Linked DNA regions of Drosophila melanogaster. The protein of the gene in region 4 interacts with the protein of the main gene of each other region in a pairwise test. Each region holds a gene or a part of one and is shown on either strand. Other genes may lie near its edges. The genes, in order: CG13114, esn, Fancd2 and Smyd5.

Region 1 (3,880 bases), on a different chromosome or scaffold from region 4:
GGTTAAATAAGCGCTGTTTGAAAACATTCATATTGCATAAATCATATATATTTGCATACGAAAATTTATGAATCTAATTTGTGTATATATCTATGCTTATCAAAATTGGCAAGCATAAACCAGAATTAAGCTGGCGAAATGCGTAAGATGAAATCTTATTCAATGTTATCGACAACAAGAAAGTATATAAAAAAATGAATGCAAATGAAGAAAACTTTTTAAATACAAATAATAAAATGCGTCAAGCCGAATTATAAATGATCGTTTTTGAAAAGTAGCAAACTCGCTACTTTATACTATGTATAAAGTATATATATTCTTGATCAATAGGATCAATAGCCAAGTCGATCTGGTTATGTCCGTATGAAAGTCGAGATTTCAGGAACTATAAAAGCTTTTTTTCATAATTTTATTAGTCTTGTAAATTTTTATCTCTTGTTTCATTAATTCTTTTAACAAAATCGAAGGGGGGAAATTGCTACTTTATAGCCCAAAAGTATGCAATAGTTATTTCAACTATAATACTAAGACCATAATATTCTTTAGTTTTTTGTTAATAATTTATTTAATCATCATGTAGTCAACAGGAAACGGGGAGTACATCAATAAATAATGGGATACCTAGAAAACATTCTAGCCTAGACTAATCCTAAAAAACAACGTATGGAACTTTAGTAGTCCGCATATCCCCTTCCTTGGTTGCCATATCCGAAGTCCTTCAGATAATTATCGATGGCCAGATCGAACGTGGACGATGGCTTATCGGGTCCAGAATCGGGACCACCATATGGCTTGATCTCCGGTTGGGGTACGGGATAGGCTTCCGTACGCGGTTGATAGGACTCAGTTTGGCTGGGATATGACTCTGTGATGCTGGGGTAGGAGTCCTTTTGGCTGGGATAGGATTCCGTGGGACTTGGATATATGGGTGTGTGGCTGGGATACGACTCCGTTTGGCTCTGCACAACGGGATAGACTTCCGTCTGGGGCGCCGAGTATTCCTTGGGTGCTTCAACAATAGGATACGATGTGGATCTCTCATAAATGGGAGACGGTGTGGCCACCACAATCTTCTCCTCGTAGGGAGTCTTTATCTTGGCCACCGACACGCCCGATGATGATGATGAAACCGCTGAGGCGGCATACTTAATGCTGGAGGAGATTTTGGGTGCCGGCGCCACTTTGCTCACGAGTGGAACCACTTGCTTTTTGTAGCTTGGAACCGGGGAATAGAAAACGGAGGGAGCTGGCTGAAGCTGAATACGTGGCGGAGTTGGCACACTAGCTGGGTAGCCCTTCTTGGTGCCATACGCAGTGCTAAGCAATTGGGCCAACTCCTCCAGCGTGTAATTAGGAGCAGCTATGCTGGCCACCGCTGGTGAGGAAGCCACCGAGGGAATGGAAGCCGGTGAAGCAGCTGATGCCGCCTGTTCGTAGACCAATGGATATGGCTTATAGGCCTTGGGTCCGCCCACTGGTCCTACCAATCCCCCATAGGATTCGCCTCCGTACTTGGGAAAGTATTTGCGCTGATGGACATGCGTGTACTCCACCTGGCCACCTGGGGCATACTCCCCAATGGATGAGATCTGGGTGAGCGGCTGCTTGGGCTCAGAAGAGATCACCTTGCGGCAGAACTCCTTGCAGCCCAGCTTGCATTCGCAGTAGCACTTCTTGTACTCCGATGGCTGTGTAGTGTAATCCGTGGGCGTGGGTGGGGCACTGGTTGTTGTTGGGTAAATAGGTCCCGGGCTGGTGGCGCTGGTTGTGGGCGGGCTCAACGTAGAGCCTCCGGTTGTTGTTGGCGCTACCGTTGTGGGCACCTCGCTGCACGGCACCTGTTCCCACACCTCCTGTTCACATTCCGCACAATATTCCGGGAAATGGGCTTGGGTCAATAGTGCCGATGCCATCAGCATGGTCATAAATAATAAATTGCAGCGTTCGAACATCTGAAGGGGGGAGAATATTGAATTTAGAATGGGTCAGAGAATTGCGCCGGAATCGTTCCCAATCGATTGACCCCGTTACCCTACCTTTCAACTGAATTTCTCCCTCGCTCGCTCGATCACTTTCCCCACAATTGCTGGAATTTCTGTCCCGGATCGCCGATGGATGGCACTTGTTGGCTGTTGGTCGGTCGCGTGCGAAACTCTTTCATGCATTTTGCTGAATAGCTCTTAAATACGCTGCGCTGGCCGAGAGCTTCTTCTTCTCGTTCTTACAACGCCGAGCAAATGGGTCGCGGAAGCGTTGACCGCATCACGTTCCAAACGCCCCAAACGGCTCGGAATGGGGCGTGGTTGTCCGGAATGGGTCCGGAATGGGTAAAGACAATCGCCAGATGCCGCCGCTTCCGTAATACACATTCAAGCATTTCTGCCCGCACTCGTCGATAGCTTGGAGTGCTCGCGACAAGAGTTGTTTAATCAAAAACATATAGCAAACATATTTATGTATGACCTTTGGCATGACAATAACCTTTAAGAGAAAGACGAACTTCATAATGCATTTTTTTTAGGCAGTTTCTCATTAGCCAGAATAAACAATCCTCCTGAAATCTTTAATTTTATAAATAGCCAAAACCATTCCGACCGCAATGATCATTTTTTCGGTTCTGCACAAAATTTCCAGCTGCTTGGGGGATTTATAATTTCTGGGTCTCGGCCTAGATCTGATATTAACGTCTGGGGTCGATTGACTTATCAATTTTTGGTTGTAATTCTTTGTGGAACTCAAGGTCTACACGTACACTATGGATAATGGTATTTTTGTAAGCGATATTGCTCAATACCTAAATTATCTTCCTACAAATTGAGTACAAAAGCTTTACTGATTTAAATAATAGTATCTTGACCATTTAACATTTTGTCTAGCTCATTATTTAAACAACATTTTGGGAAAACTCTGCTTAAAATTGGGGGCACTCTTAATCTTTTTTGTTTTAACAAAAATAAGCAACATCACTATTTTCATTATTGCGAGTAAAAGTCATAACAATTTTAGCCTTACAAAGAAAAATAGCAAAAAACTCCGATTTATTTAAAGTAGTCCTTTAAAAAAGTACTTTATTTTTTTTACTTTTATACTTTTAGTATTTATTCATTGTCCGAATCACCAGAGATCACTTAAAATCAAAGCCATTTGCACATTTGGATGAGGTGACTTATTTATGATTAATTTAGATTTGCTACACGACTTTGGAAGGGTAAGCCGGGGTAAACCTGAATATCAGGGAAGAAACTTTGATCATCCCGCACATCAGTTTCCATGGTTTCCTTGTGGTCACGTCTTTTTTCGATGGAGCTGCGCTTCCTTAGTTTCTCCCAGCGATTTTGTTTTAGTTGTGTCTTCGGTTTAACTGGCACTTGAATTTGAGATGGTTTTTTAGATTGACCCGGATCGGAAGTCTCGCGAACCGTTTCCGTGCGACTTGCCATTTCCACATCAATGGTGTCAGCTTTACTACGACCACTGGTAAGTCGCCTCAGCATCTCCTGATAATGCGGTTGATCCGCAGTTATGTATTCCGGTTCGTCTTCGGGATTGAGAATCTGGTAGTTGGGGGTGCCCAGTTCGAAGGTGGTGAATTCACCATGCTCCACTTTGTTCTTCAGATGCTGCGGCGTATACCCATACTGCTTAAGTGGAGCCATCCACTTGGCATCCGCATCCGCAACTGTATCCTTTGAGCTTCCCCCCAGGCAGAAGCCAAGGGTCAATAGCAATGTGACCAGTAGTTGTCGTGTCTCCGGGCAGCCGACCATTTTCGCACTGATGCTCCATGGATGCATTGGTCAGAGCGTTAGCCAAATCCAATAGAATCGCCATCGACGACGTCGACTGCGCCGGTAATTGGACGCCCCCAAAGTGGCAGCAG
Region 2 (4,942 bases), on a different chromosome or scaffold from region 4:
CAGGCTGGCAAAAGAGGGCCGCCGGCGGTCCCAACTTATTTACTTTATTGTTGAGATTCCTATGCAAAGTGTTCGGCCGGCCAGGCGCTTAATTACGCTTTAAGTAGCCGCCAGTCAATATTGGGTTTGGTTTATTTAAACTGCGAATGTAATAGCCCCGCTGATTGCGAATGGCTCGAGAGGATGTGCATATGGATGTGGAACTGGAGGTGGAACTGGAGGTGGATGTGCGTCTCAAATTACAAAGTTCTGTTTAAGGGAAATTGATGGCGCACTCCTTCCACCAATATTTTATGGCTTCACCCAAAACAAAATCTAATTAACAGTTTGCGTAGATTTATGAACAGAAGTCCATGCAAATGAAGTCTGCATGCGGAATGCAGAGAATACAAAAGATGGAAGAGATGGCAGAAATGGCAAAGATGCCGAGGACCTGAAAGATCTGAAAGATCTGAAAGATACAGAATACCTTTTCGATGAAGGGCACTCAGTCAGGCGGCAAAAAGAACTCAATTTATGAAGTCGTCGGATGGAATTTATGAGGCTGCAGGATGCAAACACAAGGTGACGGGCGATCGGAGGAGAAGGACCTCGTGAGGATGGGCTCAGTGGACCCGAAGTTCTGCCAGCCTCGTTTAACCGCTGCTGTTGCCACTTAGCTGCATGCAATTCATTTTGCAGTTAACAAAACTCGACAGCGAGGCGAAGGAAGGAGCACGTGCTGGCCAGAAAGTTGATAAATAACTTTCCGGTGCCAGTTTTGCAAATAGTCGGGCATTAATAACACCTTCTTAGCGAGCCCACAAAGTCGCCTCCAGCTGACAGAGCCTCTTATGGCGGATTATTTGTGCCATTATTCGAGGGTGACCTGTAGGATTTGTACTCTCAGCGCAATTGAAACTGATACGCGTAGCCAACAACGGCTGTTGATCAGGTGAAAATGATAAACTCCGCTCTATTTATGAGCCGCCAAAGAGGTATGCCTTATCGTTCTGGATTCCTTAAGAAGTTCTGAAGAAATTAATTTATCCTAAACAATATGAAATCTAATAAGGGAAAGAAATGGCGATGGTGACAAAAATGACAACAGAAAAAAAGATCACGGGATTAATTCCATATTAACATTGCAAACTTCAAATGGGCTATAAACCCAAGGGCCAAAAACAACAATCGTGTCCATTGGTTTATTACCTTTTAAACAATTGCAATTGTAGTCGGTAAATTCGGTAAATTGTTTGGCCTTCGTACTTCTCTTTCAATAGTTGTAAAAACAACATTGGTAGAAAGTTGCAGACCCACATTTTCAACGGCAGCTAAAAGGTATTAAATTACCAAACACGAAAGCGGCCATTTTCAATATAACGAGTATTAACTCAACGTAAGTCGGAAATCTATAAAGCTGTCAGTGTGCCAGCCCATTTTAATGCGATCTGCCTTGCCTATAACTTCGAATAGCCAGTTTAATTTGAAGAACCATAAAGTATGATTCCAGTGGTTAGGAATAGAATCCTCCAGAACCCAACTGCTCCTCAACTCGGAGCACGGAGCACGGCTCATATGAAGCTATTAAGCAGCCATCAAATTGGGCCGTAAACTCTCTACTGCGACGCCCGTTTTATAGTCACTTAAATTGGGAAATGCAAAGCTCATCAAATGGATTTCAAATTAGTTGGCCACATTCCCGCCGACAACTCCGCTTTCCCTCGCCCACTTATCGCCGAGAGTTATGGCCATTAGAGATAGCCGGTGGAAACTCACATTTTGGGTGCTGTGGCTGCCGGCGGTGGCGGCCTCTTTGAGTGGCCATCAAATCTGGCCAATTGTTCTTCAATATCGCTGAGCTGGATATCGTCGGCAATGGCCTGGTTGAAGTAGCAGTTGGCCTTCCTCCTGCTCTTGTCCACCTCGAGGAGCTGCTCCGTATCCTTGGGATTTAGCCAAACGGCGTTCCTGTTGCGGCAGCGGTTCAGGTTCCTCAGATCGTCATATCGGAGGATCTGCTGCCCCTGGATCCTTGCTATCTGGGAGGGCGTTAAGCTGCCGGTCAGCATGGCCACCTCCACGTCATCGTCGGTCTCCCCGTTGCAGGAGATTCCCGAGGAGTGGAACTGATCCTCGCTGCTCAGCTTCCTCTGCACGCAGCCGGAGGATTGGGCCACGGCCATGGCCAAAGTGGGTGCAGGGGATTCGTTGGGCAGCTCCAGCGCTATTTCGTAGGGTGCTAGGGTGATCGTGGTGGCCTTTGGCTTGGTCTTGGTTCGCACTGCCGACTTGATGATGCACTTCGCAGGGGCGTTGCCCCGATGTTTGGAGCACGTGGACTTGCTACTCTGCTTCCTGGGCGTCAGTTTGGTCACCGTCGATAGCCGGGACTGCTGTCCAGCTCCTATCTGCGGCATTTTCGGCGGCTGAACCTGCTCCTCCAGCCGCTCCCGGCTGGCCAGGCGCTCCCTTTCCGCGGACACAGCCCGTCGGCGACTCCGCCGTATGCTGGGCATGTTCCGGGGGAACAGCTTGCCCGCCTCCGCCTGGGAGCTCTTGGAGAGACTGTCGCAGCTCCGGTGGCGGGTGGGACTGCCGCTGCTGGCGGTGGTGGTGGAGCTGTCGCTAATCGTGGTGGCCGTGTTGGCCAGCACTGAGGAGCACTCGCTCAGGTTGACGATGTCCCGGTAGTTCCTCGACTGATCCTGCTTGCCCACCTGCGGCAGCCGGATCTTCCACCAGCGCTTCTTCGAGAGCATCGCGGTGAGTGGAACGCACGTCAATCACGGGTCGCGGGCCAATCAATCAATTGACACATTAACGAACGGGGAACACCTTAAGCAGTTGGCAGGTATGCGGCGGCCTGCAATTACCGTCGCCAGCAATTAACGGGCGATCCGCTTGCTCCAATTACGTGCACTCGCGATCGGATTGATACGTATCGGCTGGGATTCTATCTGAATTCCTGGTTCGCGAAAGAACAGCACTCGCACCGCTCGCTTTGGGGCTGCTCAAACAACTGAAGATTGTAGAAAGTAGCTGTTGGCCGAAAGGCGGCTTTTGGCCAGGTTGGTGCAGGTCAAACTCACCACCAAGACGATCCAGCCAACTCACCACAGCTCTCTTTCTCTCATCTATATATCTCTCGCTCGCTCTTGTGGCCCAAGCAAGTGCAGGTAAAACAGGTGGCACAGGTGAGTCGAGTGGCTTTCGGTTGAGTGCTTCGGATTCGAGCCAGAATGTGGTGGCGTTTATTAGCCAGCTATTGAAGAGGCAGATTCTGGTAGCTGCAACTGGTTGATGCAGCTGTCTTCGGGCCATTTGACACATTTCAGGCCGTTTAGCGATTGACCCATTTCAATCACGGCCAACAAGGGAAGACCACGGCCAGCGTCCCTTGGGCGTTGTGTTACCACATTAGCAGCGCACTCATAGGTGGTCATTAGACTGCGGGCTTGGTGAAAATGTGGTAATCGGGTAAGGCCCCTCTCATGAAATCCATCCGTTTGCCCCGGAATGGAAATGAAGACGGGCGGATGGAACGTGGACGAGGGAACAAACCAATCATTGGAAATTAGGGTTTGTGGCTTCCCTATGCTGCACGGGACTCTCTTCTTGTGGCAGCACACGGACGGTAATGGAGTCGACACCGATTTCACATATTATTCAATTAACACGCAGCTACTGATTCATTGCAATTGAGGCTGAGCTAGAATTTACTAGCCAGTGCAATTATGTCCTGTTGATATTTGGGATAAGTATTCTTCAAAATGGTTTTTAGTTTAAAGTTATGTGGTGATTTTGATAATCGACTTAATAGATCAAAGACCAGTTTCACTTCCGAGGCATTCCACTAACTATCTCGGATATAAAAATGCTATGAAAATTATTTGCACAATATAAAATGTGTCTTTCGTTGAATTATTTTGAGTCGCTATATAAAGTGTCTCTCTCGATGAATTAATTAGAGCCGCTAACTTCTCACACTTTGCAATTATACTTTCTTCTCTGGCTACTAACAACCAGAAATAATTTAAAATTAGTGACCTTTACTACAAGCTAAAGGATTCAATTGAATTTTTAACTTACCTTCAAAACTCTCCCAAACGAATTGCCATTGCGAAGTTTGCGTTTTAACAAATTGTTTCACCAACTGCAATGAAAGACGAAAGTAAATAAATTAATTTCCCCATTTAACGTTAAATATTTGCACTCTCTTTCGACACTCAAAGAGTGATGGGCGAAATGGCCCAACTAATTGAGGACCAGGCCAGAAGAGAACAGCCAACATGAAGCGGCTGAAGGCAAACGAAATAAGCAAGTGACTGCCAAAAGTATTTTAATTGCCCGGAGTTTTCCGAAAAGAGGGGCGTCAAAACTTTATTTGACAGTTGGAACAACTGAACAATTCATGAAACAATTTTGATTAAAACCGAGACACACGGTCTCCAACTGGAGAAATGTCAGCGAAAGCAGTTGTCAGATGCCAGCAGCAGGTGAAAATTGGTGCACTGAGAACATTAGATGCTCAAGGTGATTGTATTATCATTATCGTTAGTAATCAATCATTGGTTGTATGGTCGATAGACAATGCCTTTAAGCTCCATTCAACTATAAAACTAACTTCTGAATTAGATTCACTACATTTCCCGACCACATCTTAAAGAAGGATGTTCTGCTTGATTTAAATGACAATATGAATACTCCTGACTGAATACTGTAAAGAAGTGAAAAGTGGGGATAATTTTTCCAAGTGTAGCCCTTTTCCCACTTTGGCCATGGCCAACAGGTTAAAGTCAACGTCATTGCAGCAGGAGCGCAAAAAACAACAAGCCCGAAAGTGACGCTAGTAAAACAACGACGATAATATCCTGCAGAGGTCGTAAAAGTTGAGATTTGAACGTGCAACGTACACGTGTAAGTCAAAAGTTGCCCCGGGCGGTGGGCGGTGGGCGATGGT
Region 3 (7,801 bases), 410 kb from region 4:
TAAGGTTCTTAATGAGTTTTTCTTATATCTTAAAACATTCGTTACACGAATACGAGTAGGCATAAAAAAACCTTACGACGAATTGTTACATTGTACATTCTATTACAAGTTTTCTGCAGTATAATGACCATTTTGTCAAAATTTCAAATAATTTTCTAAATATATAACCCTGATATGTGTAATAAAGTCTTCAAGTTGTGTTGGACATTAGACCAATTGGTAAACCCATTCCTTAGATTAAATTATTTTCCTTTAAAGGGAGAATGGATATTAAATAACACAGAAAATTTACTTGTAGGGCTGCCATGCAGTCTGGCGGACGACCCCGCGAGCGATTGCTGTACGCCTTCCGGGGATGGATAGCATTCGTGGCCTTCATGGACCTGGGCACGGCCTTTAGGAGCTACATAGAAAGACGCAGCTTCCTGGGCGATCACAGCGACACCCAGTTCATAGAGGGTAAGTGGGGATGGATTGAGCTGCTGGAGTCGCATTTGATGGGTTCTTTCACAGGGGACTACACCATATCGCGGATCATCGGGATGTACTGCCTGCTGAAGGCCATCGCTCTCGTCCACTGCACCCTCTACATTCACTACAAGCCGTAAGTGAATCCCATATATCCTCTGGTTAGATTATCGTCACTAATGGGGATATTTCCCTACGTTTAGGGTGGTCAGCATGGGCGGCTGCTCATTGGCCCTCACCATGGTCTTCTATGCCACCGAGGCACTCTACTTTCGCTCCAGCACCATTAACTTCTACGTGATCTTCCCGTGTGTGCTAAATTGTAAGTAAACACAACTAAAATTCAGTAATAACAAATTATATCTTTTTTGTAACACCCCGAACCATTTAGTAAATTGAATCTTTCGCCTTTTTAGCTATAACTCTACTGGGCCTCATCTATATACCCAAACGACTGCGGCTCTGGGAGCCAAATATGGATCTGGATGACGAAAACTCACAGCTGCTCAAGCAAATGACGGGCTTCAAGAGACGACGAGCGAAAAAACAATAGTTTATTACTATCTAGAAATATGAAAAGCAATAACCGGAAGACACTGAGTTGAGTTTCCGTTAGCACAGTATTGTGAAAGAATCGCAAATTTCGCTTTGGACTGCATTGGTGTGATAGAATCGGCATCATGTTCATCATTATATATACTCAATAGCAATACTGAAAACAACGCCAAATTAGTGATTTTCTATGAACTAGGTAGTGAAGGGTCTAAATGGCCCCGGAATAAGTCAATTTCTGGCATAATCACTTCAAGACATACATATGTTGTACTTCCTTTTTATAAAGCGTATTTATATACATTTAAAAATGTATGGCACAATAGAGTTTTTGCACTTTTAAGAGTTGAAAATCGATACTAGGAAATATTTATCTAATTATCAGAGACATCTAGCACCCGAGTTAAATAATTAAAATCGAAAGGCTTTAAATTAACAAATAAGCTCATAATCATCTTATTTACATATACGATTATCAATTTATGGATCATGCTTCCGTATCGATCATAAAATTAAGGAACATTTTATAGTCATTACGTATGATTGAATGTTATGTAAACCTAAAAAAAAGAAAATACAATAATAGTTTTGTACGAATTATGTAGATTATGTTTCAATAAAAATTTGAATTGACGAAAGTGGATTTTTATTTAGACTTCTACACACAGTGCTCTAAAGGTCGTTTCTTCATTTATTTTGTTAGATTTTAATTAGTAATGTTAAAAAAAAATAAGTATTTCTATAAGAGTTGAATTATTAGTTAATTTTTATAATCATTTGAAAATCGTAAAATTTGTATAAGAATTGTTACGATATTCGTTATTGCGCTTAGCGAATTCACGAACCTCGACCACCGCGGCTATCGATAAAAACTGATGTCAATGCTCGGTCACACTGCACCTGCATACGCGCCATTAAATTGTTTTGTTTTTATTATTTTGTGATTTAAGATTGAAGATTGAAGCTTATAAAGCTTTCCAGTACTATGTATAAACAATTTAAAAAACGCTCAAAGAAACCTCTGAACACCATCGATGAGAACGCGACCATAAAAGTGCCGGTAAGTGGACATTCGGACCAGTCGGAATTTGGAACTCCATTTACTTGACCAAAATCTGTGTTTCAGCGCCTGGCGGAGACGACCACAAATATATCCGTTGAGTCCTCATCTGGCGGAAGCGAGGAGAACATACCCGCCTCCCAGGAGCACACGCAGCGATTTCTGTCGCAGCACAGTGTTATCCTGGCCGCCACTCTGGGTCGCACTCAATCCTCCAGCCGGAACATTGCAACGCTCTCCCGACAACCGAACAACTTTTTCGAACTGGTCCTGGTTCGAGCAGGGGTCCAGTTGGACCAGGGTGATAGCCTCATCCTGGCCTGCGATCATGTCCCCATAGTCTCCAAGCTGCGGGAAATCTTTACGAGTGCCTCCTCGTATACCGACAAAATGGAGACATTCAAGACGGGTCTGAATGCTGCAATGGCGCCTGGGTCGAAGCTGGTGCAGAAGCTCCTAACCGGCTGCACCGTGGACGCAGCTGGCGAGGAACAGATCTACCAGTCCCAGAACAGCATGTTTATGAACTTCCTCATGATCGACTTTATGCGAGATGCCTGCGTGGAGGTGCTGCTGAACAAGATCGAGGAGGTGGCCAAATCTGATCGAGTCATAATGGGCAAAGCAGCTATTCCCTTGCCACTGCTACCGCTGATGCTGACGCAACTGCGCTACTTGACCGCCTCGCACAAAGTAGAGATCTACAGTCGCATCGAGGTCATTTTCAACAGGGCTACGGAATCGGCCAAATTGGACATCATAGCCAATGCTGAGTTGATACTCGATGCCAGTATGCACGATGAGTTCGTCGAGCTGCTTAAGTAAGTAAAATTATTTAAAGCAGAGCAGAAGAATTTGTGTACTCGCTCGCTCTATGGACTATCTACGTTCTTTCTTACTAATCGTATAATTTAATTTCGTGGCAGCATCAACTATTCCAGCACTGAAGACCTCTTTCACATGACCACAGTGCAAACTCTGGGTAACTTATCGCTTTCAGACAGAACGCAGGCCAAGTTACGAGTGCGCATTTTGGACTTCGCCACAAGTGGTCAATGTTCGGATGCGGTAATTTGAAAATTAGACCGATTCTAGAATTCTATTTAAATGTTTTGTTATCTTAGATCTTGCCGCATCTCATCAGGCTGCTGCTTAACGTTCTGAAAATTGATACAGATGACAGCGTGCGCGACGTAAGGTTCTTACTCCGTTCCCTAAGCATTCGGTTTCAGTTCGTTCATTTGCAGTTGATAGGCAGCCTGCGTGGAATCTTCAACTGGCGTCACACAAATGAGACGGAAAAAATCTCGGCAAGCGAAGACAGTAAGAAGTCTCAGCTGGAACTTTTTGGCTTCCTAGAACTAGGCTTGATACGATCGAAGAAGTTTTATCAAGCGTGCCAAAGGTCATCTGCTAGTGTGCCAGCTGCCGAATTTACGTGAGTACATAGACTGGCCTATACGAATTCAAGTTTAAATAATTACATATTTGCAGCTCCTTTGACATGATACTTCTGCTTTTGTTGATACATGTTAATGAAGATAATTCATTGTACATCGAAAATATTGTAAGTATTCCTTAAAAAATAAAAAAAAAAATAAATTCATTACATTTTACTAATTCGTCAGCTTCGACGACGCATTAAACTGGAGCATATTACAGTGAGCATTTTGGAAGAGATACGACAGCACTATAGACACATCCTGGAGCAGCACATAACCACACTGATGAACATCCTTCACGACTTTATGCGAGAGAAAAATCGCATCGTGTCCGATTTCGCCAAATCTTCGTACAGGTGTGGTTACCTAAAGAACCCTAAAGAAAAATCATATTAATTTCTACTTTGTTTTTTTTTTTTGCAGTATACTTTTTAAGATTTTTAACTCGATCCAGAAAAATATTCTAAAGAAGCTGTTGGAGCTTACCTGTGACAAATCATCGCCCCACCTGACAACAATGGCACTGGAATTGCTTCGCGAGCTGCAACGAAAGAGTGCCAAGGATGTTCAGAATTGTGCAACTCTACTTATACCCATGCTGGATAGGATAAGTGATCTAAGTCTTACACAAACCCGCGTTGCTATGGACCTTCTGTGCCATGTCGCATTTCCGGATCCAAATCTATCGCCCTGCCTGCAACTCCAAGAGCAAGTCGATATGGTGGTTAAAAAGCAGCTGATCAACTCCATTGATAATATTAAAAAGCAGGGAATTATTGGCTGTGTGCAACTCATCGATGCAATGGCACGCATCGCGAACAATGGTGTTGATCGTGACGAGTTTATTGCCAGCGTGGAAAACGTCGATTCCTTGCCCGATGGCCGAGGCAAAATGGCTGCCAACTTAATCAGTAATTAAGTGCCTGACATACTTAAACGTGTATATTAATATTTTTTCCATGCAGTACGCACCGAGGCATCAATAGGAAATAGTACCGAGTCCTTAGCCCTGTTTTTTGAAGAACTGGCCACGGTTTTCAATCAGCGCAATGAAGGAACCTCCGGCTGTGAGTTGGACAACCAATTCATTGCTTGGGCCTGCGACTTAGTGACATTCCGCTTCCAGGCAAGCTTTGTCACCGAGAATGTGCCCGAGACTTTAAAGTATGTACTGACTTTTTTAAACAAGTATGTCGCTAATCAAATTTGCTTTTAAGGGGAATTAAACTGGAATATCAGTTAAATATCAATGAATTGGACGATACAGATGCAAACACTGAATCGGATGTCCTTAATATTGGCATAAATATCTCAAAACTAGTTTTATCACCCAAAGTGAAGTGAGTTTCTTATCTCATGAGTTTCATAAAGCTTTTGTATTTTAACGTACCCATTTACAGAGCTTGTGATTCTATATACGTGCTGGCTCCTCTGTTCAACTATGTCAGAGTGCTGTACAAGCACCGCCACCAAGACAGCTTGGAGAGCATCAATGCTTTACTAGGCTGTGCCATTGTGTTGCCCTCATTCTTTGAGGATGACAACTATGTGTCCGTTTTTGAAAACTTTGAGGCGGAGCAGCAAAAAGACATTTTGAGCATTTACTTTCACACCGTCAATTGGATGAGGGTGTCGATCAGTGCGTTTGCATCACAACGTGATCCTCCCACACGGCGTCGAGTTCTATCTAGACTTGGAGAACTAATTCGTATCGAGCAGAGAATGAAGCCCCTCCTGGCGAGAGCGCCCGTCGACTTCGTGGCACCGCCATATCAATTCCTCACCAACGTCAAGCTCTCGAACCAGAATCAGAAACGTCCAGGGCCTAAGCCAGCTGCCAAACTAAACGCAACTCTACCAGAACCCGATTTAACTGGTAATCAACCATCGATCGCTGACTTCACCATTAAGGTTGGCCAGTGCAAGACCGTTAAGACGAAGACTGACTTTGAGCAGATGTATGGGCCGCGGGAGAGATACAGGCCAATGGAAGTGGAAATCATCATGCTCTTGGTCGAGCAGAAGTTTGTCCTGAACCACCAGCTGGAAGAGGAGCAAATGGGGGAGTTTCTTGGTCTTCTGGAGCTACGATTCCTGCTGGAAGACGTGGTTCAAAAACTTGAAGCAGCAGTCCTTCGACATCACGATTCTTATGATGCGGACAGCTTTAGGCCGCATCTGGCCAAACCGGAGGATTTTATTTGCGATCTACTTCCATGCCTACACGAGGTGAATAATCACCTAATAACCCTGGGCGAGGCCATTGACAATCAGCTTACGGAAGTCAGTCATGTGTACAGCAATCTGGATCTGTTTAAGGATCAATTTTGCTATATCAAATCGTGCTTTGGGCTGTGCGTCCGGCTGTTTGCCTTGTACTTCGCCTGGAGCGAGTGGAGTGATAAGTCGCAGGAACAACTGCTCCATAGTAAGGTGTTTTAAATTTTACGCAAACCTTAAAATGTAACGTTACTATTTTTGCAGAGTCTTTGCTTAAGCTACAGCCTAAAACACAATGGAAGAGACTAGAGAAGCAAAGTGTTCCTCAGCTGGCCAACCTAACTTTTCAATACTTTCTAAAGTATGAGAAATCCGTCCTGAATCTTAGTACTGCAGTACATCTTCATCGATTGTTGTGTAACTTGTTAAAGCTGGGCAGTTTACAGAGCGATGCTAGCCAACCGAGATTTCAGCAAGCCGAGGACTTACGTAAGCACTAACCATGAAATATGAAGTGCAATTTTAGAATTTATTACTCATGCAGGGATACTGTGTGGCACGCTGCTGCGCCGTAAATGGTTCCACTACTCTGGCACCTTGGACAAAGGTGGTCAGTGCAATATTTATTTGGACGAGCTGGTTAAGGGATTCCTGAAAAAATCGAATGCCAAGAGTCAAACCGAACTACTTACTGAGCTGGTTAAACAATGCAGCATACTGAATACGAAGGACAAAGCACTGACATCCTTCCCCAACTTTAAAAAGTAAGAAAATCAGTTGATCCGTATTTTGTATGTTTTATTAATTCTTTCCCCTCATAGGGCCAACTTCCCACTACTCTTTCGTGGACTGTGCGAGGTGCTTATTCACTCCCTAAGTGGTCAAGTTAGCGTCGACAGCCGTGGTGATAAATTGAAGTTATGGGAGTCAGCAGTCGATTTGTTGAATGGCTTGCTCAGCATTGTGCAGCAGGTGGAACAGCCCAGAAACTTTGGGCTGTTTCTAAAACACTCCCTGCTATTCCTTAAATTGCTGCTTCAGCACGGAATGTCTGCGCTGGAATCTATTGTTCGGGAAGATCCCGAAAGGCTAACAAGGTTTTTGCACGAGCTCCAGAAGGTGACACGCTTTCTGCACCAACTCTGCTGTCATTCCAAGTCCATTAAGAATACGGCTATAATCAGCTATATTCCCAGCCTGCGGGAAACGATTGAGACGCTGGTCTTCCGAGTCAAAGCCCTGTTGGCTGCCAACAACTGTCATTCTGCTTTCCACATGGGAAATATGATCAACAGGGATCTCCACGGAGATTCTATCATAACACCCAGGAGTTCCTTCGCCGGCGAGGAAAACAGCGACGATGAATTACCTGCGGACGACACCAGCGTAGATGAAACCGTCTTGGGCGATGACATGGGCATCACCGCCGTTAGCGTGAGCACAAGGCCCAGCGATGGGAGTCGTCGGAGCAAGTCCTCCTCCCGCAGCAAATGCTTTTAAATAGCGTAATACGACTAATAAGAATTTCAAATAAATCAGTGACGTTGACGCAGAGTCATGGCGTTTTATTTGTTTAGTAGTCTAGAATTGAGCAGACGACGATGTTTGCATTCTTTATTTATTTCATTTTATTATCTGGATGCAATTTTATTTAATTTTCGTATTACAAATAATAACAAATGTATGTATATCAAATATTTTAGTACAATATGCTTCATTTCATTTATTTTCTTCGTTAACAATAATTGTTTATTAAGACGTAAAAGTTGTTCTCCCATTTTTCTCACATTCGGCCTTCCTCTACGATGAACTCTGATTGTTTATTTTTATTATTTAATTTCCATTTGTTTTTATCTCGTAATAATTGGCGACGTTACGTTCACGGTTTATGAATCCCTTTCATACGTGTGGTATGTGTATGCAAATGTTTTGTGATGTTGTATATCAATTGGTTGTTTATAAAAGGGGGTTTAAAATCAAATCAATCAAGTATAATTGTATAGGTATATGTAATTAAAAGAGCAAGAAAACACACACAAACTATAAATTTAAAGTAAAA
Region 4 (3,729 bases):
GTGTGTTTTTTGTGTTTAGTTTACTTTGTATATTGCGTCAGAATTCTTTTTGCTTTGTACTATATAAAGTATAGTTTTCTGATTGGTCTGTATTGTTATTTTCGAAATTGACTTTCAAACGGGAAACCAAATAAGTATAGCTTCAGTGAAAATGGTACTTTCTGCAAGAACGATAATAGCGTTTCAGTTCGGCGATATAAAAAAAATGATAATAGTAGGGGAGCCGGGTGAACCTCGCCCCCTTACTATAAACGACATAAAGAACGTGGTTCGCGCCAAATTTGGGATAGTGAACTTCGTTTTGCTTAATAAAGAACTGGATTATGTCATACCGGACGAAGATCTGCTCCAGTACCTTGGCCTGATGACACGTTTCTGCAATTTTGTCATAGAGGTGAGGGAAGTCCCCCTGGATAACGGTGTGCATGAGCTTTTAGCGCCTAATGTACCTTCCCCGGCAGCAACAAATTGAAAAAAGACGGCCACACGTACATTAACAAGCACACTTGTACACTTCTTCAAAATCTTTAACATAAATATATTTTACAATATGTACGTACATAAGAGCTTTTTAATGAAATAAAAAATTAATTCTTAGTTTAGTTCATGTCGTCATCATCGTCGTAGTCGTCCATTTCGTCGTCGTCATCGTCATCTTCGCTGGTCTCGTCGGGATCGGACGCCTGGGCGCGGCACTTGGGGCACTGGCAGATGAACACGTAGTTCTCGCGCAAGACCTTGTGCCTCGAGTGGCGACTACGCTCCAGCATGCATTCGTCCAGGTAGGAGATGCAGATCTCTTCGCCCTGTTGAATGGGAGCCAAGGCCTTGAGCACGACAATGTCGTTGGAATAGGGAAATGTGGAGCAGGCATTCGGCACGCAACTGTGGTTGATTTTGCTCTGCAGCAGGTATAGTCCAGAGCCCTCGTTATTCAAGAATTCGCCAGCAACTGTCGGGGCGATGTTGATATGGATAATTGGCTAACAAGGTGATCTGAGAAATAATTACATTCTCCGACTTTGGCGTACAGTCCGTCGATGACCGTGTCGAGCTGTTCCTTTTCCGAATCCGTTAGTGGTAGATCGGACACCTTGGCAACCCACTGGGAAAGCACGCTTGTTGCAATTCCCTGGCTGTTAGTTCCCAGAATGGCCATCAATGTCTTGAAAGCATCCGGTGTTTTGAACTGGAAAACAAAAGATGTATTCGCGTTTTAACGCACTCTGTAAGGATATGCATACTATGGAGAACTCCTCGCCCGTGAAAGCATTGCAGAACGCAAGATACAACTGCTCCATCTGCTGCTCAAAGTTCTCGCCCAGCATTTTGTGATAGATCTTCTGCTCGCGATTCACAATCAGCGACTGGAAGGACTGCAATTGCTCGAGGAACTCCTCCTTCTTGGTGCTCTGCTGGTAAAGAGCCATCAGGCGGACAATCAGCATTATGCTACCCGTCTCGGGCGGATAGTGCATCTTTTTCCAAGTCTCATTCAGTACATTGATGGGATGTGTGTCGTCGGAGTGGAAGGCGCCCATGCAAGCCACGCGGTGGTAGCGCTTCTGCGCCTCCATTAGGCAGTCCTCGGAGCAGTAGCGCACCTTGCACCGTGGGCACTGGGTGAACTGGGCCACCCACTGGGCGGTGGGATCGTGTTGAAGCAGCGGCACCTCCACTTTGGGATCACTGGCCAGGCGGCGCACATTCTCTAACACCGTCTCCAGTGGCCGCATGCAGTGGTCACACGCCGCATAGCCGTAGGCCACGTTCCACGAGAACTGCCGGGACACGAACGGTTCCTCCTCGAAGATCACCTCGTCCTTCGCGAAATTTTTGGTCGCGATCATCGCACGTCCCTGATGAATTTTTTAATGTATTCAGGGATAGTATGGTGACGGGACTTGACCTACCTTGCCGGGCAACTCCCGAATTTCAAAATTATTCATTGTTTACTCGGCTTTTTGGCTTTGTTTTTGCCAATCCAATTGCACGTGTAGTGCAGTGTGGCCGCACCCTCGAGCACGAATATAAAATACTATGGTATTTAAGCCGTTAAGGTTTCCTATAAAATATTTAAAGTTTAATTTCATAAACTTTTCCTTCCGGGCTAAAATCAAGTAATGGGTCATGAAGATGCAACTTATTCAATTAGTTTCTTCATAGATCTAAAAAAACTATAGTCAGTGCCTGATTAGTTGGGTTGATATTTTTTAGATGCAATTCAAAGATTCGTGTAGCTCAAACAACAGGGTGCACCTTGTGTATTTATAAAACCAATTCTAACCGAAATTGACTGAACATGGTTATTGCGATGTCAGTATATCGATGTCTTGAGCTATCGATAGCACAAGGTGCAATTGTCCGAACCAAACGATATACAAATCCTGAGAAGAGAGGAGAAAAGAAAGACTTATTTGGTCCTCGCAAATTGCCACATCCGATTCCCCGGCCTACTAGAAATGGCAGACGAAGCGGGCAGCCAAGCCGATGGCAAGCGGCAGTTTATCTGCGGCGTGATCGAGGGATTCTACGGCCGGCCGTGGACCACGGAGCAGCGCAAGGACCTGTTCCGCAAGCTGAAATCCATGGGCATGGGGTCCAGTCCTTCGTACATGTACGCACCAAAGGACGACTACAAGCACCGCGCCTACTGGCGAGAGCTATACACCGTTGAGGAGGCGGATCACCTTTCCAGTAAATAACCTTTGAACTCAGCTAGTCCTTTTGTTAAGTGCCTTCCATGCAGGTCTCATTGCAGCGGCCAAGGAGGCGGGCATCACCTTTTACTACGCGTTATCGCCCGGACTGGACATGACCTACAGCAGCCCCAAGGAGATCGCAACGTTGAAGCGCAAGCTGGACCAGGTTGCGCAGTTTGGGTGTGAGGCCTACGCCCTGCTCTTTGACGACATCGAGTCGGAGCTCTCAAAGGCGGACAAGGAGGTCTTTCAGACGTTTGCTAACGCGCACGTGTCGGTGACCAACGAGATATACACGCATCTGGGCAGCCCCAGGTTTCTCTTCTGCCCCACCCAGTACTGTGCCTCGCGAGCGGTGCCAACGGTCCAGGAATCGGAGTACCTCAATACCCTGGGCTCCAAGCTGAACAACGAGATCGATATTTTGTGGACGGGGGATAAGGTTATCTCCAAGAACATATCCCTTGAGTCGATTCAAGAGATTACCGAGGTGCTGCGCCGTCCGCCGTGCATCTGGGACAATCTTCATGCCAACGACTACGACCAGAAGCGAATCTTCATGGGACCGTACAGCGGTCGATCGCCGGAGCTTATTCCCCACCTGCGTGGTGTTATGACCAATCCCAACTGCGAATTCTATGGCAATTTTGTTGCCATCCATTCGCTGGCCTTCTGGTCGCGCTGCAGCCTGGACTCGAAAGTGAACAGCTCGCTAAGTGCAGACATAAAACTGGAGACTGAAAACGATGATGACCTACCGGCGGAGTTTCTCTCTAAGAACGTTTACCACCCACGCTTGGCTCTCAAGTGAGTAAAACTAGGTAAATAACGCAAGAAAAGCTAACGAATCATTTAAATCATCTTTAAGAAACGCTATAACGGAGTGGCTACCGGAGTTCTTCATGAAAAAGGAGGCCTGGGGACCGATCACCAAGCCCCAGCCTCAAGTCCAAATGGTGATGCCCATTATTCCCATCATACCCTCCATAAATACCTGCATGAGTCTCACCACCACCACAACCACATC

What was found.
Region 1: the proteins of Smyd5 (region 4) and CG13114 interact in a two-hybrid assay, tested with the Drosophila melanogaster proteins (one large-scale study listed by BioGRID).
Region 2: the proteins of Smyd5 (region 4) and esn interact in a two-hybrid assay, tested with the Drosophila melanogaster proteins (one large-scale study listed by BioGRID).
Region 3: the proteins of Smyd5 (region 4) and Fancd2 interact in a two-hybrid assay, tested with the Drosophila melanogaster proteins (one large-scale study listed by BioGRID).

Annotation. Positions count from the first base shown.
Region 1 is NT_033779.5:9,544,089-9,547,968, reverse strand, and holds CG13114 (uncharacterized protein), read right to left. Parts: upstream 2,159-3,880; 5' UTR 2,037-2,158; intron 1,953-2,036; coding exon 672-1,952; 3' UTR 545-671; downstream 1-544. Other genes in the region: CG13113 (uncharacterized protein), read right to left, coding at 3,177-3,794.
Region 2 is NT_033778.4:7,104,741-7,109,682, reverse strand, and holds the start of esn (espinas), read right to left. Parts: upstream 3,004-4,942; 5' UTR 2,742-3,003; coding exon 1,759-2,741; intron 1-1,758.
Region 3 is NT_033777.3:20,810,298-20,818,098, reverse strand, and holds Fancd2 (Fancd2), read left to right. Parts: upstream 1-1,908; 5' UTR 1,909-2,005; coding exon 2,006-2,080; intron 2,081-2,146; coding exon 2,147-2,901; intron 2,902-3,006; coding exon 3,007-3,148; intron 3,149-3,204; coding exon 3,205-3,273; intron 3,274-3,327; coding exon 3,328-3,518; intron 3,519-3,574; coding exon 3,575-3,647; intron 3,648-3,708; coding exon 3,709-3,878; intron 3,879-3,945; coding exon 3,946-4,433; intron 4,434-4,487; coding exon 4,488-4,686; intron 4,687-4,739; coding exon 4,740-4,862; intron 4,863-4,922; coding exon 4,923-5,950; intron 5,951-6,006; coding exon 6,007-6,231; intron 6,232-6,286; coding exon 6,287-6,506; intron 6,507-6,563; coding exon 6,564-7,242; 3' UTR 7,243-7,295; downstream 7,296-7,801. Other genes in the region: CG17270 (uncharacterized protein), read left to right, coding at 299-459, 514-604, 672-790, 885-1,021. UniProt on the Drosophila melanogaster protein: Required for maintenance of chromosomal stability. Together with Fancl, and probably Fanci, involved in DNA repair of damage caused by agents that induce interstrand cross-links but not agents that cause double strand breaks.
Region 4 is NT_033777.3:21,216,760-21,220,488, forward strand, and holds Smyd5 (SET and MYND domain containing, class 5), read right to left. Parts: upstream 2,033-3,729; 5' UTR 1,950-2,032; coding exon 1,914-1,949; intron 1,860-1,913; coding exon 1,245-1,859; intron 1,190-1,244; coding exon 1,012-1,189; intron 953-1,011; coding exon 600-952; 3' UTR 509-599; downstream 1-508. Other genes in the region: Oga (O-GlcNAcase), read left to right, coding at 2,463-2,697, 2,750-3,509, 3,571-3,729.